Linked DNA regions of Stegostoma tigrinum. The protein of the gene in region 1 purifies or fractionates together with the protein of each later gene. This does not show direct contact. Links are inferred from orthologs where the notes say so. Each region holds a gene or a part of one and is shown on either strand. Other genes may lie near its edges.

Region 1 (7,939 bases):
GCAGACAGTCTCTCGCGCGCACACAGTCACGCAGTCTCTCTCTCTCACACACACACACACACACACAGGTGCGCGCGCGCACACACAATCACAGAGTCACGCAGTCTCTCTCTCTCATACACAGTCACAGAGTCACACAGACTGTCGCTCTCTCTCTCACACACACACACACACACACACACACACACACACACACACACTCTCTCTCACACACACACACAGTCAGAGTCGCGCAGTCTCTCTCACAGACACACATAGTTAGCAAGTCACACAGATACACACAGTCAGGCAGACACACGGTCAGTCAGAAAGTCACACAGACACACATTATCAAACAGCCATACAAACTCACACAGACACAGCTAGCAACCGAGGCAGACAGACAGGACACCGACAGTCACACAGACATATGGACACACAGTCAGACAGACACAGACACACAGTCGCACACACACAAATACAGCCAGGCACAGTCAGACAGCACAGACACAGTCAGATAGTCACGCTGTCACTCAGACACACAGTCGGACAGACAGTCAGAGACTGATATGAAAGATAGACAGGCAGTCACATGCATGTGCACACACACAGACACGGAGACATGCATCCACACATACACACTCTCACAGGGAGACACACACACACACATAGACAAGTGGCGCATGCGCACACATGCACGTATACACACACACACACACACAAATTGCCATGTTTAACAGCTGAAGTAATGACTAGAGCTGCAGTTTACAGGCTCTTAGTCCAGTTTTGCCATCTTCACCATGGCTGAGGGAGCTGAGCAAGGGCTGACCCCTGTAGGTGTACGAGAAAATGCTGGGGGGCTAGGAGTGTTGGGAAAGGGAGTGGGAGGGGCAGAGGTCATTGTACATTCTGCCTGGGGAGCTGTGACCCTTGCTCACTGAGATCCGATCGACCAGGATGTGCAGACTCACTGACGCAGGCCACTCAGCCCTTCCACCTATTACCTTACTCACAGATGATCACCACGGGTTTCTCCCGCACCTCCCCAGAGCTAGTGAGGTGAGGTGGGGGTGGGGTTGGGGGTGGGGGGGGGGTAGCAGAGACCATTCCGAACCCGACACCATCCAGCGAGCGAGCTGGGACCCACACCCTGCCAGCGGTACCGCGGCCCAGGCTTACACTGAATTCCTTGCTGAATCCGCTCTCGTCTCCATCCGCCTTCTCCAGCTCAGCGAGGTGCTGCAGGAACCCTCTCAGTATCTCCTCCATGGGTCACGGCGCTCCACCTCACCCCGTCTCGCAGCCCGCACTGCAACCGCTCTCTGGCCTCTGACTGCTGCCCAACTTTATCCGACACTCACACAGCCCTGGGTCCTCTCATTCTCCCAAGATCTTCTCTCTCTCTCTCTCTCTCTCGCTCTGAATAATCCGTTATCTCCAGACCATCTCCCTCAAGCTACTCTCTGTCCTTCCTGCCCAACACTCCCTCCACAACGATTCTCTCTATCTCTCTCTCTCTCTCTCTCTCCAGGCCACTCCCTCACCGTTACCTCTCCCTCGATTCTCTCTCACGCGCACTGTTGACCCACTGTCTGCTTGACTTCTCAGTTTCTCCAACTCTATTCAAAATCGGTTTTCTCTCTCGCTGCTTTCAATCACACTCCATTCTGCCTCTCTGTTTTCACCGACACTGTCTCTCTATCTATTTAATTTTCTCACTACTTCCTCACAATGTCACACTATTTGCTCCCTCCTCACTTTTTTCTACACCATTCTCTTCTCTCTCTCTCTGTCTGTCTGTGTTCACTCGTACAGTCTATTTCCAGTTTAAACCGTCTCCCTCACTATTTTCTCTTCCTCTCCCTCTGTGTGATAACTCTATACTTACATATTTCCCAATGCACGCTTTCTCCCTTTTACTATTAACTTTCTCTTATTCACTATTTTCTCTCTGATAACTCTACTTTATATATTTCCACTTTATATTCCTCTGCCTCTCTGACAACTCTATTATCTATTTCCAATTTAAACTCTCTCTCCTTCACTGTTTTCTCTCCCTGACTCTTTTCCCTTCACTACTTTCTCTCTTTCACTCACTTTCGCCCCACTCTCTGTCTCACCATTTTTCCTCTCTTTTTCTGTCACTATCTTATCTCTGTCTTTCACTTGTTTCCTTCTCTCTTTCGCTTTCTACCCTTCTCTCCACTTCAATATTTTCTCTCTCTCTCTCTCCCCTTCACTTTTTTTCCATCTCTTCCACATTCACAATTTTCTCCCTCCTTCACGACTTTCCCTTTCTCCGACCCACTATTTTCTCCCTCTTTTCCACCTTTCTCTACTTCTCTAATTTCTCTCTCTCTCTCTCTTTCCTTCACTTTTTCCCCATCTCTTCCTTCCTTCACTACTTTTCCTTTCTATGCCTCACTATTTTCTCCCTCTTCGTCCCCCCCACGTCTTTCCTTCACTTTCTTCTCCTCTTTCTCTTCCTCCTTGACTATTTTCTCTCTCTTCTTCTCTCAAGGTTTTTTCTTTCTATTTCCTTCACCTTCTTCTCCTCTTTCTCTTCCTCCTTGACTATTTTCTCTCTCTCCTTTACTGTTTTCTCTCTCTCCACCTCACTTTTTTCTTTCTATTTCCTTCACCTTTTTCTCCTCTTTCTCTTCCTCCTTGACTATTTTCTCTCTCTTCTTCTCTCACTGTTTTTTTTTCTTTCTATTTCCTTCACCTTTTTCTCCTCTTTCTCTTCCTCCTTGACTATTTTCTCTCTCTCCTTCACTGTTTTCTCTCTCTCCACCTCACTTTTTTCTTTCTCTTTCCTTCACTTTTTTCTCCTCTTTCTCTTCCCCCTTCACTGTTTTCTCTTTCTCACTTCCCCCCCTTTTTTCTCTCTCTCTCTCTTTCACTTCTTTGCCCCCCTCTGTCTGTTTGACTAATTTTACCCTCACAATGACTACTTTCCCCCTTTTTCTCTCTCTCTCTGATAACTCCGTATTTGCAGTTTGAACTCTCTCTCTCTAACTGCGATCTCTCTCGCTCTCCCGCCCCCCGCGGGCACGGCACCTGATTGGACCGAAGCCCCTGCCCATCGGGGTCTCCTTGACACACCTCCAGGGCGCGGCTCCGCCCACGCCAGCGCCTACTGGTCGGAATCCACGTCCGTCAGAGCGCAGGCCCTCACCCCAGTGGCTCGATTTGGAAGGGGCGTGACATAAGCCCGGCGGCTGTTGGAGGGAAGCCGCGCCCATCGTGTGGGTCGACGGAGGGGCGGGACGGGGAGGATAGAATCTCCACCCTTCGATTGGTTAGGAGCCGCGTCCATCAGTAATTGGGTACCCACTATTGGTCAGAGATGGAGGCGGGATTTCCATGCTGCCTTTTTATTGGTGAAATGGTGTGTCCTTTGGAGAATCTTTGTCTTCCATTGGCCTAAGATGGGGGAAGGCGGACAACAAGCCTGACTGCTGAATGGTTAAATGTCACGTCTTTTTTCTGACCCGCCCTCCCATTGGTTCGATGCGTGAAGGGGGCGGGTAGCAGTCTAAATGGCTGTGAGCGCTTGACCAATCCGAGTAGGCTTCCTCAACCACTGGAGCTGCCATTGGTTCCGACGTGAGCGTTTCCCGCTGATTGGGTGACGGGGCAGCCATTCGAAGGCGGAGACGGCGCCTGGTCGGGTTCGGATTGGAGAAACCCGGCGAAGGAGGCGGGGCAGGGTGGAGAGGTGCGGAGGAGGCGGCCGCTCGGATTGGTCGGCGTCAACGTCAGTCAGGGCCGGCAGCGGAAGGTGAGAGAAACAGGGATCAGGCCCCAGGGACAGGGGGAGAAGTGGGGGCTCCCCCTGATACCGGGTCCCAGAAGCTGACACTGGGGGAGGCCGGGAGGTGAGCGGAGGGAACAGGGAAGGTGTGAGGTTGGGAGGGGAGCCTCTGCCTCTGCCTCTGCCTCTGTGTCAGGGTATGTAATTATGGGGTGTGTACGGGGCGTATGTAGGACGTACGTTGGGGGTGGGGTGTATTTGGGGTTGTGTATGGGACCGGCGTGTATTTAGGGGGGTGGGGCGTGTATTTGGGGGGGGGGAGGGGCGTGTATTTGGGGGGGGGGAGGGGCGTGTATTTGGGGGGGGGGAGGGGCGTGTATTTGGGGGGGGGGGAGGGGCGTGTATTTGGGGGGGGGAGGGGCGTGTATTTGGGGGGGGGAGGGGCGTGTATTTGGGGGGGGAGGGGCGTGTATTTGGGGGGGGGAGGGGCGTGTATTTGGGGGGAGAGGGGCGTGTATTTGGGGGGGGAGGGGCGTGTATTTGGGGGGGGGGGGGAGGGGCGTGTATTTGGGGGGGGGGAGGGGCGTGTATTTGGGGGGGGGAGGGGCGTGTACTGGGGGGGAGGGGCGTGTACTGGGGGGGAGGGGCGTGTATTTGGGGGGGGAGGGGCGTGTACTGGGGGGGAGGGGCGTGTATTTGGGGGGGGAGGGGCGTGTATTTGGGGGGGGAGGGGCGTGTATTTGGGGGGGGGAGGGGCGTGTATTTGGGGGGGGGGAGGGGCGTGTATTTGGGGCAGTGAATGGGACCAGCGTGTATATGGAGGCGGGGTGGCGGGTGTGTATGGAGGCGGGGGGGGTGGCGGGTGTGTATGGAGGCGGGGGGGGTGGCGGGTGTGTATGGAGGCGGGGTGGGCGGGTGTATTTGGGGCAGTGAATGGGACTGTCGTGTATATGGAGGGTGGGTGTGTTTGGAGTTGTATGTGGAATGTGCGTGTGTACTGGGGCTGCATACGGGACCGACCTGTGTATTTGGGGCTGCGTACGGGACTGACCTGTGTATAGGACCTGTGTGTACATTGGGGGGTGGTCATGTATAGGGGGATTGCATATATATGGAGTGTGTGTGTGTGTGTTGTGACTGCACACGTGGATGTGGGGAAGTGTGCATGAGGGGGGATGAGGTGCGTATATGGTGGCCATGCGTGTGTATCTCTATACACGGGAGAGCGGTGCATCTGTCTGCGTATCAGGGTGGGAGGAGGATGGGGGCGTGCGTGTGCACGTGATGTTGGAATGAGTCCTTGCTTGTGTGTACAAGGTGAGGTTGAGAGTCATTGTGCATGTGCAGTGAGGGTGAGGCAGTCTAACAGTGATACCAGGCCCGAGACAAGTCCATTTCTCTCCTCCACATCCACAATCCCCCTCACCCCTCCATCCAGGGGACTGCCAGCCCTGCTGAGTTTCTCCAGCATCCCTCAGGATTTGTATCCCAACGTCTGCCGGGGTCTGACCTGTCTGCTCCCACCACCAACAAGGACTGCCTCCTGGTAATATCGCCCCTCCACCAGCCACATTCTCCCAAGTCTGTAAACTGATGCGGTCGCAGTTATAAATAACCGAGCAGCTTGTATGTTTCTTTCTCCTCCTGTGCGCCTAGCAGAGCCTGTTCGGCCCCAAAGTGCAGACGGTGATCGCATTGCACCTCACCACCAGCCTGCCCGTCTCGGCGGGGGAGATAGAGACCAGGCCCGCGTCCCCTGTCGCTTCGTCTCACCTCACCTATTTTTAAAAACCCGCCACGTCAGTCCTTTGACCTGCGCCTCGTTGCTTCCGAGATGCAGGCAGGCGCGCCCAAAAATAGTGGGGCGGGTGGTGGGGGGGGGGGAGGCTTGAGTGCTGAGGGCAGTCTGCACAACCAGAACCACAGGTTAAAGCAAAAGTTGAGAGCAAATTTCCATTTGCACTGGGCCAGTAACCGAGCAGCTGCTGCACTACAGAGACGGGTGGGGAATGCACCCTAAGCAGGAAGAACAGAGGAGTTGAATATTATTTAAATGTGGAAAGCTTTGGAACAGAGGGATTTGCGAGTCCTCGTGCACAAATCTCCAAAAAAAAACTAACATCTAAGTTCAGGCTGACTATCGATTTGTCTCTCTAAGGGAATAGAGTACAAACTTAGGGGTTTCGTGCTAAAACTGTACGAAGCAAAGAGCCAGACCACAGCTGGTTTACTGTGAACGGTTCTGGGCCCCAATTGTCTGAGTAAAGACAGACTGCAGTTGAGAGGAGGCTCATTGGCCAATCCGGGGGATGGAGGGGCTGCCTCCTGAGGGAGAGGTTGAGTACGTCAGGTGGAGTTTAGGTGAGTGAGGGGGTGATCTTATTGAAACAGAAAAGGCTGCCAGGGTGGGGAGGGGGAGAGCCTGACAGGGGAGATACGGAGGGATCGTTTCCACGCTTTGTGTGGGAGAGTCTAGGACCAGAGCGGGCATCGTTCTCAGAGTAAGGTGGGGACGTGGGTGGGTCGCCCATTGAGGGCAGAGATGGGGAGGACTTTCCTCCCTCCAAGGGGAGTGAGTCTGTGCAATTCCTCACCGCAGAGGGCTGTCGGTGCTGTGTCGCTCGAGGCTGAGATGTTTAATCAGGAAGTGGGGGGGATCGAGGGGTTATATTCAATGCTGAGAGAGAGAGATGTTTAATCAGGAAGGGGGGGGATCGAGGGGTTATATTTGAGGCTGAGAGAGAGAGATGTTTAAGCAGGAAGGGGGAATCGAGGAGTTATGGGGAAATGGCGGGAGAGCAGATTTGAGGGTGGTGATCAACTCAGTCATGATCTTACTGAATGGGGGAGCAGACTTGATGGGCTGAATTGGCCGATAAACTTGTAGGAGTGTAGCAGAGCACTGTCTCACGTCACGGTTTTGGTCAGGGTGCTGTCTGTCTCCGAGGGTGGTAACAGCGAATACGTGTGACTGGGGCTCTGTGTACACCACCGATGTTGCTTTCCAAAGAAAGACCAGACTGACCAGTCGGGTCTTCAAACTGTAGCATGCGGGAGCTTGCTGTGCATGTAAAAGTCTCCTTGTTGGCAGGGGAAGGGCAATGGCCAGTTTGCCTGTAGCCTCCCCCCCGACGTGTTGCAGGCTCTGGTGTGTTTGCAGGGATACACATAGAACATAGAACATTACAGCACAGTACAGGCCCTCCGGCCCTCGAAGTTGTGCCGACCTGTCATACCGACCTCAAGCCCATCTAACCTACACTATTCCATGTACGTCCATATGCTTGTCCAATGACGACTTAAAGGGGGCTTGGACACCAGGGAGAGACCTCTGCATCAATCCCAGGAGCGGACTCAAAATTGTGAGTCTGTGTGTGTCGACAGATGCTGTCAGACCTGCTGAGTTTCTCCAGCATCCTCTGTCCATTTCAGAATTCCAGCGACTGTGGTATTTTATGTGCGCTCACCCCCCCCCCCCCCCCCCCCCCCCAAACCCGGCCCCTTGCAATGTGCCTGGGTATCCCGGTCTCCAGCCAATTTGATATCAAGAAACAGTTGGAGACACTGGATACTGTAAAGGCCATGGGCCCTGACGACATTCCTGCAGTAGTACTGAAGACTTGTGCTCCAGAACTTGCCGGTCCCATAGCCGAGCTGTTCCAGTCCGGTTACAACACTGGCATCTACCTGGAAAATTGCCCAAGTAAGCCCTGTAAACAAAAAGCAGGACATATCCAACCCGGCCGATTACCGCCCCAATGGTCTCCTCTCAATCACCACTAAGGTGATGGAAGGTCTCACTAACAGCGCTATCAAACAGTAACTTGCTCGGTGACTGCCCAGCTCCTGACCTCATTCCAGCCTTGTTCAAACGTGGACAGAAAGAAGTGCTGAGTCCTTGAGTTTGAGGTCAAGGCTGCATTCGACCGAGTGTGGCATCGGGGTGGCGGGGCAAACTCTCTGCTGGTTGGGGTCATAGCTGGCACATAGGAAGATGGTTGTGGTTGATCGAGGTCAGTCATCTCAGCTCCAGGACATTTCTGCAGGAGTTCCTCAGGGTCGTGCCCTGGGCCCCAAACATTGTCCGCCTCGGACCCTCCGACAACGCAGGATGGCGCGGGAGCTAAGCCCCAGATAGTGTCTGAGTTGGCAGGGAAGCGTGGGTGTGGGTGGGTGATATCTGAGAGTGCAGGGTCTCGTCCC
Region 2 (8,036 bases), on another chromosome or scaffold:
AGCTGCAGAGCTGGGCTGAGAGGTGGCAAATGGAGTTTAATGCAGACAAGTGTGAGGTGATGCACTTTGGTAGGAGTAACCAGAAGGCAAAGTACAGGGCTAATGGTAAGATTCTTAGTAGTGTAGATGAGCAGAGAGATCTCGGTGTCCATGTTCACAGATCCTTGAAAGTTGCCACCCAGGTTGACAGGGCTGTTAAGGCGGCATACAGTGTTTTAGCTTTTATTAATAGAGGGATCTAGTTCCGGAACCATGAGGTTATGCTGCAACTGTACAAAAGTCTGGTGCGGCCGCACTTGGAGTATTGCGTACAGTTCTGGTCACCGTATTATAAGAAGGATGTGGAAGCTTTGGAAAGGGTGCAGAGGAGATTTACTAGGATGTTGCCTGGTATGGAGGGAAGGTCTTATGAGGAAAGGCTGAGGGACTTGAAGCTGTTTTCATTAGAGAGAAGAAGGTTGAGAGGTGACTTATTTGAAACATATGAAATAATCAGAGGGTTAGATAGGGTGGATAGGGAGAGCCTTTTTCCTAGGATGGTGACGGTGAGCATGAGGGGGCATAGCTTTAAATTGAGGGCTGAAAGATATAGGACAGATGTCAGAGGTAGTTTCTTTACTCAGAGAGTAGTAAGGGAATGGAACGCTTTGCCTGCAATGGTAGTAGATTCGCCAACTTTAGGTACAAAGTCGTCATTGGATAAGCATATGGATGTACATGGAATAGCGTAGGTTAGATGGGCTTGAGATCGGTATGACAGGTCGGCACAACATCAAGAGCTGAAGGGCCTGTACTGTGCTGTAATGTTCTATGTTCTATCTCCTTGGTGGATCTTCACCTGGATATTTCTCCTTCAGGAGACTGTGCAGCAGTTGCTGGTGTTTGCCGTTCCTACTAGCTTTGATGAGGATGCTGTTTCCTTCTATATTATGCAGTTGTACAAAGACTTCAAGGATTCCGGCCATTGTGAGAATATCGGGTCATTAAAGTGCCGCATAGATGCTGGGGTGTCAAGCTACATCATGATCTTCAGTCTGATGTGAAGTGATGTAACATGGTGATTTGAAAATGAAGCCGTCAAAAGTAAGGTTAAGATTTTATGATGGTACCACACTATTCCACTTCCCAGCACTTGATATGTATAGCTCATCCAAGTACTTATTACAATTTGTGATGTTTCCCAGCTCTATTTCCCTGTCTCGTAGTGCATTCCAGATTTTCATGTCTGTCTGGGTGAAAAGCTCTTTCCTCAAATCCCCTCCAATGCTCCTGCCTTTCACCTTGAAACTATGCCCCCTCGTTATTAATCCTTCAACTAAGGGGAACAGCTGCTTCCTATTCACCCTGTCCATGCCCCTGATAATCTTATACACCTCAAGCAAAATCCTGCTTAGCCATCTCCGCTCTAACAAAAAGAACACAAACCTATCCAGCCTCTCTTCATGGCTAAAATGCTTCATCTTAGTCAACCACCTGGTGAATCTCCTCTGCATCTTCTCCAGTGCTTCCTATTTATATCTTCCCATACAGCAATGACCAGACATGCACACAGTACTCCAGCTGTGGCCCAACTAAAGTTTTGTACAGCTGTAACAAACCAGCGTCAACAAAACCTTGTACAGTGTGAACAGAATCTTCCTGTTCTGATAAATTATGCAATGATTGACAAACACAAGTGTCCTGCATGCCTTCTTAACTATCCTATTAGCCTGTCCTGACAAGTGTCCTGACACCTTCAGATGTCTGTAGACAGCATCCGAAGGAACCTCTGCTCTATATTCTGCCATTACAACAATGAAGATCTGGAGTTCCACATCATAGACGGCACGCAATGCCAAACATCCCTGCCACAATGAGTCTAAGGCTTGGACTGGCAACCCACAAAGTGCCAAAGCAGCTTTGTACTCATGTCACATCAGTCCCTAAGATAACCATTGAAAGAATCTTTCCAAACTTGCTAAATCTTCAACACCAAAGCATGGATATTGGCAAAACTGAAATCTGGCTTGATAGATCGTATTTTGTTTTGTTTTAGTTTTAACAAGGTTGTCTCTCATTAAAGTATAAGTACACAATGTTACAGATTTTGTTTTAAAACAAGTTTATTAACCAGAAAAATTAAGAAAAATATATAATAAACCAAATTATTTAGTTATCTTTCAAATTCAAAGATTCTTACACGCAGAAGTATTATTCTATTAATCCCAAAACACTTACAAATTCCAAAATAAAAACATTCATTGTACAGTTCCTAAAACCACTCCTTGTATAGTACTTCCACCAGGGAAAAATACATCTCTTCCTAATACTTTGATAGGGTTAAGGTGACTGTGTATTTAATTCCTAAACTGGAAATGCTGATAGTTTGTCTGTGGAACTATCATACACCTGTTCTTAAAGGCACTTAACTTCAGATACACACTTCAGCTTTTATCCCAACACTTTTGATTTGCTACTATCACTAACTCCCTACTCTAAGGTAAACTTATTATATTCTCCCCTTCCCAGGTGTACTGTTCTGGATAATTATTCCTCTCAAAGGGCTTCAACGAGCTGATAGAAAAGAAAAGCAAAATTGGAAACAGCTCTCTCTAAACTATGAGGATTTTCCTACGCTTAGGAAAACCATAACAGAAATTTCTAACGGACCTTCAAGCACAATGTTTTCCTTTACTAAGGCGTGAAACATCCTAAGGTAAACAAAGAAAAATTAGAGAGATACCAAGGTGTGGAGCTGGATGAATACAGCAGGCCAAGCAGCATCCTAGGAGCAGAAAAGCTGACGTTTCAGGCCTAGGCCCTTATTCAGAAAGAAAAATTAATTTTTCTGATGAAGGCTCTAGGCCCGAAATGTCAGCTTTCCTGCTCCTAGGATGCTGCTTGGCCTGCTGTATTCATCCAGCTCCACACCTTGGTATCTCGGATTCGCCAGCATCTGCAGCTCCTATTATCTCTGATACAAAGAAAATTTAATGCTGCCAAAGTAGCTCTCACAAACTGTTCTAACAAATAAAACAAAAAAAATCACCATTTCTACAGAAAGTTAATTATCACCTTCAGACACTCAGAAAAGTCACACGACACCAACTCAAATTGTAAAACCCAAACTAAAAATAAATGACCCATGTTGTACACATGTAAGAGAAAGAACCAAACCACAACCTAATTCCAATTGTGATTTCTCTCCACAAATGCTGCCAAAGCTGCTGAGCTTTTACAGCAATTTCTGTTTTTGTCAGCAGGTCTGGCAGCATGTGTGAACGGAAAAACAGAGGTAACGTTTTGGTTCCGGTCAACAGACCTGAAATGTTAACTCTCTTTTTTTCCTTCACAGATGCTGCCAAATCCGCTGAGTTCCTGATTTACAGCATCCACAGTTATTTCAGTTTTTATCCAGGAAAATGAGTTGTTTCAGATTCTATTGATAATCTCCCAAGCATGGTTGGACTTTGACATTTTTGTGGCCCTCATAATTTTTGCAGAGTTTGATTTTTTTGTGTTTTTAAATAGATTTCTTGTTTTCCATGTGATTGTATGCCTAATATTATTGGGTGATCCACAATTGACTAAGCAGAGAGTTATGGTGAAAAGTAGAGCACGGTGACTCAGCGGTTAGCTCTGCTGCCTCATTGCGCTAGGGATCCGGGTTCAATTCCACCCTCGGGTAACTTTGTGGAGTTTGCACATTCTCCCTAGTGTCTGCGTGGGTTTCCTCCTGGTGCTCTGGTTTCCTCCCACAGTCCAAAGATGTGCAGGTTAGGTGGATTGCCCATAGAGTTCAGGGACGTGTAGATAGGGGGATGGGTCTGGGTGGGATGCTCTGAGGGTCAGTGTGGACTTGTTGGGCCGAAGGGCCTGCTTCCACACTGTAGGGATTCTGTGATGATCTGAGATATCAGTGAAGAATACAGTGGTAACCCCTGGTGGCAAACATTGGGACCACAGCTCTTTCTGGTATATATTAACAACCCATGCTTGGGATCAGAGAGCATAATTACAAATTTTACAGTTGTATTGAAATCTGGAAACATAGTGTCAGTGAGCATGACAGTAGCACACTTCCAAAGGAGAGAAAGCCTGGCGCAACGAGCAGACAGATGGAGATTAAATTTAATGTAGATCAGTGAGAAGTGATGCATTTTGATGGATAAGTAGGTAGAGTTGTAACAGAGTGCAACTAGAAAAAGACCTTGGGGTGTACAAGTACAACTTTGACAATGACACAAGTTCAGAAGGTTCTCAAAGAAAATATTGGATCCTTATAACTTGAGGCATAATGGCTGATTTGCGGTCCCACACTCTAGAAAGAATGTCAAAGCTTCAGAGAGCATGAAGAGGAGATTTATTAAAATAGTATGATAGGAATATGGGAACACGGGTTAATGGAGAACTTAGGTAGGTTAATTGCTTTGCAGCAGAGAAGATTTGATAATGGGTGCACTGAAAGTTACAGTAATTTCTTTCCAGCAGCAATTAATTACCAGACGGCACAAATTTAAGCTAATTGGCAAAAGAACTAGAGGTGATACAAGGAAAACACTGCACACAGTTGCTACGATCTGGAATACACTGCCTGTCAGTTTGTGGAAGCGGATTCAACTGTAAATGCTTACGCAAGGAATCAGGCCCTGCCTCGACCCCACTTTAGAAACTGCTGTGGAAGGATTACCCTATTGTACTGTAGAGACTAACTTTCTTTCCATGACGTGGCTGGCCAGGAATATCACTCCATCTCAACAAAATATTTCGGCAGGAGTTATAAATTGATACTCAACCTGCTTGACCTTGCTATGAACACAATTTTCTTGGACATTAAACACTGCATGGGGATCTCGATGCTGCAGTGCTGCAAGACCTCCTGTCTCTGAATTCTAGTAGATATCACCACTTTGCAATCGGTGCATTAATTTTGAGCGCCTAACGCCTGAGTGCTGACTGGAAAACAGGAATTTGCTTCTTCGTCATTTCAGTGAACAGTAAGCATCCCAACTCAAATAGAAATAATACCACGTGGATCAATGTATTGCAGCCTCCCTGCACATCCCCGGCAGACACCAGGACCCAGAGGAATCCAATTCTGTCTGTGTGCCTTTTTGGGTGAAGGAATTAAAAACAGTCGAAGGGTGGCGAATTAGACAAATGTCTTTCAGAGCAAGCAAATCATCGACAAGACAGTAGCACTCGTGAACCTGCTGACAAGACGGAACAGGAGTTTTCAGCAGCAAGTTGCTGCTGGATTTCTGGGGATAGTGTTAACGCAGGTTTGGCATTTAATTTCAACATGAGAGAGCCACGGTTTCGGGACAACTTCTGGGTAAGTGGCTTTCGCGCTGTCTGTCTAAGGCTGTACTCATTTATCTGCTGGGAATTTGATTGGGGAGGTGGGACATGGATTTTCATCTTAAGGTGTGCTTGTGCGTCTGTTAGATTTGTGAGTGGGTAAACATTCCCAATGTATTTTGTTTTACTGAACATCGAATACAGTTTAAGTTACGTAGGTGTCCCTTGCTCGTTCTCTCTCGGCATTTCAAGCTGACTCACACCTAAAATGCTCGCAACGAATCCCCACAGGCTGGTCCTGTAAAAAAATTTGTTACCTGGAAATCTGAGACCAATATCTGAAAAATGTTTCCCGTTCTTTTGAAGTGTTGTGTCTCAAATATTAATCCACCCCTCCCCAATTCGCAGATGTTGCCCGACGTGTTAACTATATTCAGCATTTTCCTTTAACTATAGAAGATAGCAGAGTGTGAAGAAAGTAAATACACATCTTCGATCTTTATTCCAGCTCAAGTTGTAGGTGCAAACCGGTTTGTTCTTTAGGATCGGTTTTTTTCCCTCTATTATTCATTAACCGGATGAGGGTGTCACTGGCTGAGCAGCATTTATTGCCCATCCGTAATTGCCCTGAAGGCAGTTCAGAGTCAACCACATCGCTGTGGGTCTGGAGTCACATGTAGGCCATACCGGGTAAGGATGGCAGTTTCCTTCCCTCAAGGACATTAGTGAACCAGGTGGGTTTTTCCTGACAATGGACAATGAATTCACGATCGTCCTTAGACTCTTAATTCCAGATATTTTTACTGAATTCAGATTCCACCATCTGCTGCAGTGGGATTCAAACCTGTGTCCCCAGAACGTTATCTGGGTCTCTGGATTAATAGTCTTGCGATAATACCACTAGGCTATTGCCTCCCCTAGTTAAGCCACTTGAAAGGGCAATTTCAAAAGTAAAATACTGGAAATCTGACAGATAAAGGATACCACTGGAAAAACTCAGTTTGATAGTTCTGAGTTCATGTTTCTTGGCCTTTCATTTTGGAGGTAGGAGGGACGTTGATATAAGCAGACAGTGGAGTCTGATTTCATCCTGCCTCCACCAGAATTGGGTTCTGGGCAGGAAAGTGCTTTTTTTCCACCCTCTTCACCAAAGTTGCTAGCTGTCCTGGAGATACCTTGTCACTTTTTGTGGGTAACTCTTGATTAAGGAACTGAACATCAGACTATGTGGTGCCAATTGGAAACCACGTCTTGTCCTTGCTTTTGCCACGCCCCAACTACCTTTGGCCTTGGCCCTGTGATCTTGGGTCTCAGTCTTAGCCTCCTCTATGGTGCTGCTGAGTGAAATGTGCTTGGGCTGTCATTGGCCAATGTTCCCCTTCATCTTCGACTGCAAGGAAAGACCCATCATTTCTGGGTGTACATGTGGGGTTTGTGGGTTTTCCCTGTAGCTGGCTGATGAGACCCTCCATAGCCATTCCACCATTTGGCCTTCCCTGGTATTGCTGCATACACTGCGTGGAAGGAGAAATGGAGTAGATTCATTGAGGCAAAATCTCAGTTTGAGAAGCAGCTGAAAACTGAGCTGGAGCCAGAACCCCAGGTGAACTTTGCTGCTCCAGCCATTTACGTCATGATTTAATGTGGCTTGTGCCAGCATGGGATTATCGTAACTTCAGGTTTCGGCATGAGGAAAATGTTTGGTAAACTTATCTGAGACAGGAACACTTCCGGATCCACCCAGTTCACTGATGAAAGGGATGGTAGCACCATGATAAAGGATTCTATTCATCAAAGTAGGTGGTGCACTGATGATGTTTCGGTGACAACCTCAGAGAACCTCTGCTGAGGCAGTTGTAGGTGGACTGCGCAATAAACCTGCAACATCAGTGTTGTCTCACAATGCTGTCAGGAACCAATTTTAAATCTGTGAAATTGCCTGCCCCATCACCATCTGAGATAGCTGTGCTCATCCAATTCTAGCCTATCATCCCACCGTCCACCTTCCTGATCTTTTTTTGCTCCACCATTTGGTAGCGGTGTCTTCAGCTACCCAGGCCTAGCTCCATAAACCTCTCCACCTTGCTCTGCCTCACTTTGCTCCTTTATGACTTTCTCCTTGCAACCTACCTGGTCATCTGACCCACGCTCCCTCCACCACGTTGTTCTGTGTCATATTTGGTTTCAGAAGGCAACTGCAAAGTGCCTTAAAGAGCATGGGACTTTTATGTTGAGGTTATCGCATAAATAGAAGATGTTGTTGTGATGCATAGCATCTTTTCTCTTGCTTCCACATGCAAACAACAATCTGATGGTAGAGAACAGCTCTGTGAAAGTGAAACTATTACGAATTCTCAGAAACACTTCTCAGAGACAGGTTGAACTGGTTTTGGGATGCAGTGGGTGGAGGGGAAGAGCTGGGCTGGTTGTGTGGTGCAGTGGGGGCAGGGGACGAACTGGGCTGGTTTAGGGATGCGGTGGGGGAAGGGGAGATTTTGAAACTGGTGAAGTCCACATTGATACCATTAGGCTGCAGGGTTCCCAGGCGGAATATGAGTTGCTGTTCCTGCAACCTTCGAGTGGCATCATTGTGGCACTGCAGGAGGCCCATGATGGACATGTCATCTAGAGAATGGGAGGGGGAGTGGAAATGGTTTGCGACTGGGAGGTGCAGTTGTTTGTTGCGGACTGAGCGGAGGTGTTCTGCAAAGCGGTCTCCAAGCCTCCGCTTCCTTTCCCTCCGTGACTCCCTTGTT

What was found.
Region 2: the proteins of ptpn18 (region 1) and pstpip2 purify together in Homo sapiens (affinity purification with mass spectrometry; 4 studies listed by BioGRID and IntAct, with this or other methods). This does not show direct contact. The link is inferred for Stegostoma tigrinum from reciprocal best matches to the Homo sapiens genes PTPN18 and PSTPIP2.

The regions. Positions count from the first base shown.
Region 1 is NC_081402.1:2,189,982-2,197,920, reverse strand, and holds the start of ptpn18 (tyrosine-protein phosphatase non-receptor type 18), read right to left. Parts: upstream 3,018-7,939; 5' UTR 1,249-3,017; coding exon 1,159-1,248; intron 1-1,158. UniProt on the Homo sapiens protein: Differentially dephosphorylate autophosphorylated tyrosine kinases which are known to be overexpressed in tumor tissues.
Region 2 is NC_081354.1:162,349,637-162,357,672, forward strand, and holds the start of pstpip2 (proline-serine-threonine phosphatase-interacting protein 2), read left to right. Parts: upstream 1-4,963; 5' UTR 4,964-5,281; coding exon 5,282-5,314; intron 5,315-8,036. UniProt on the Homo sapiens protein: Binds to F-actin. May be involved in regulation of the actin cytoskeleton.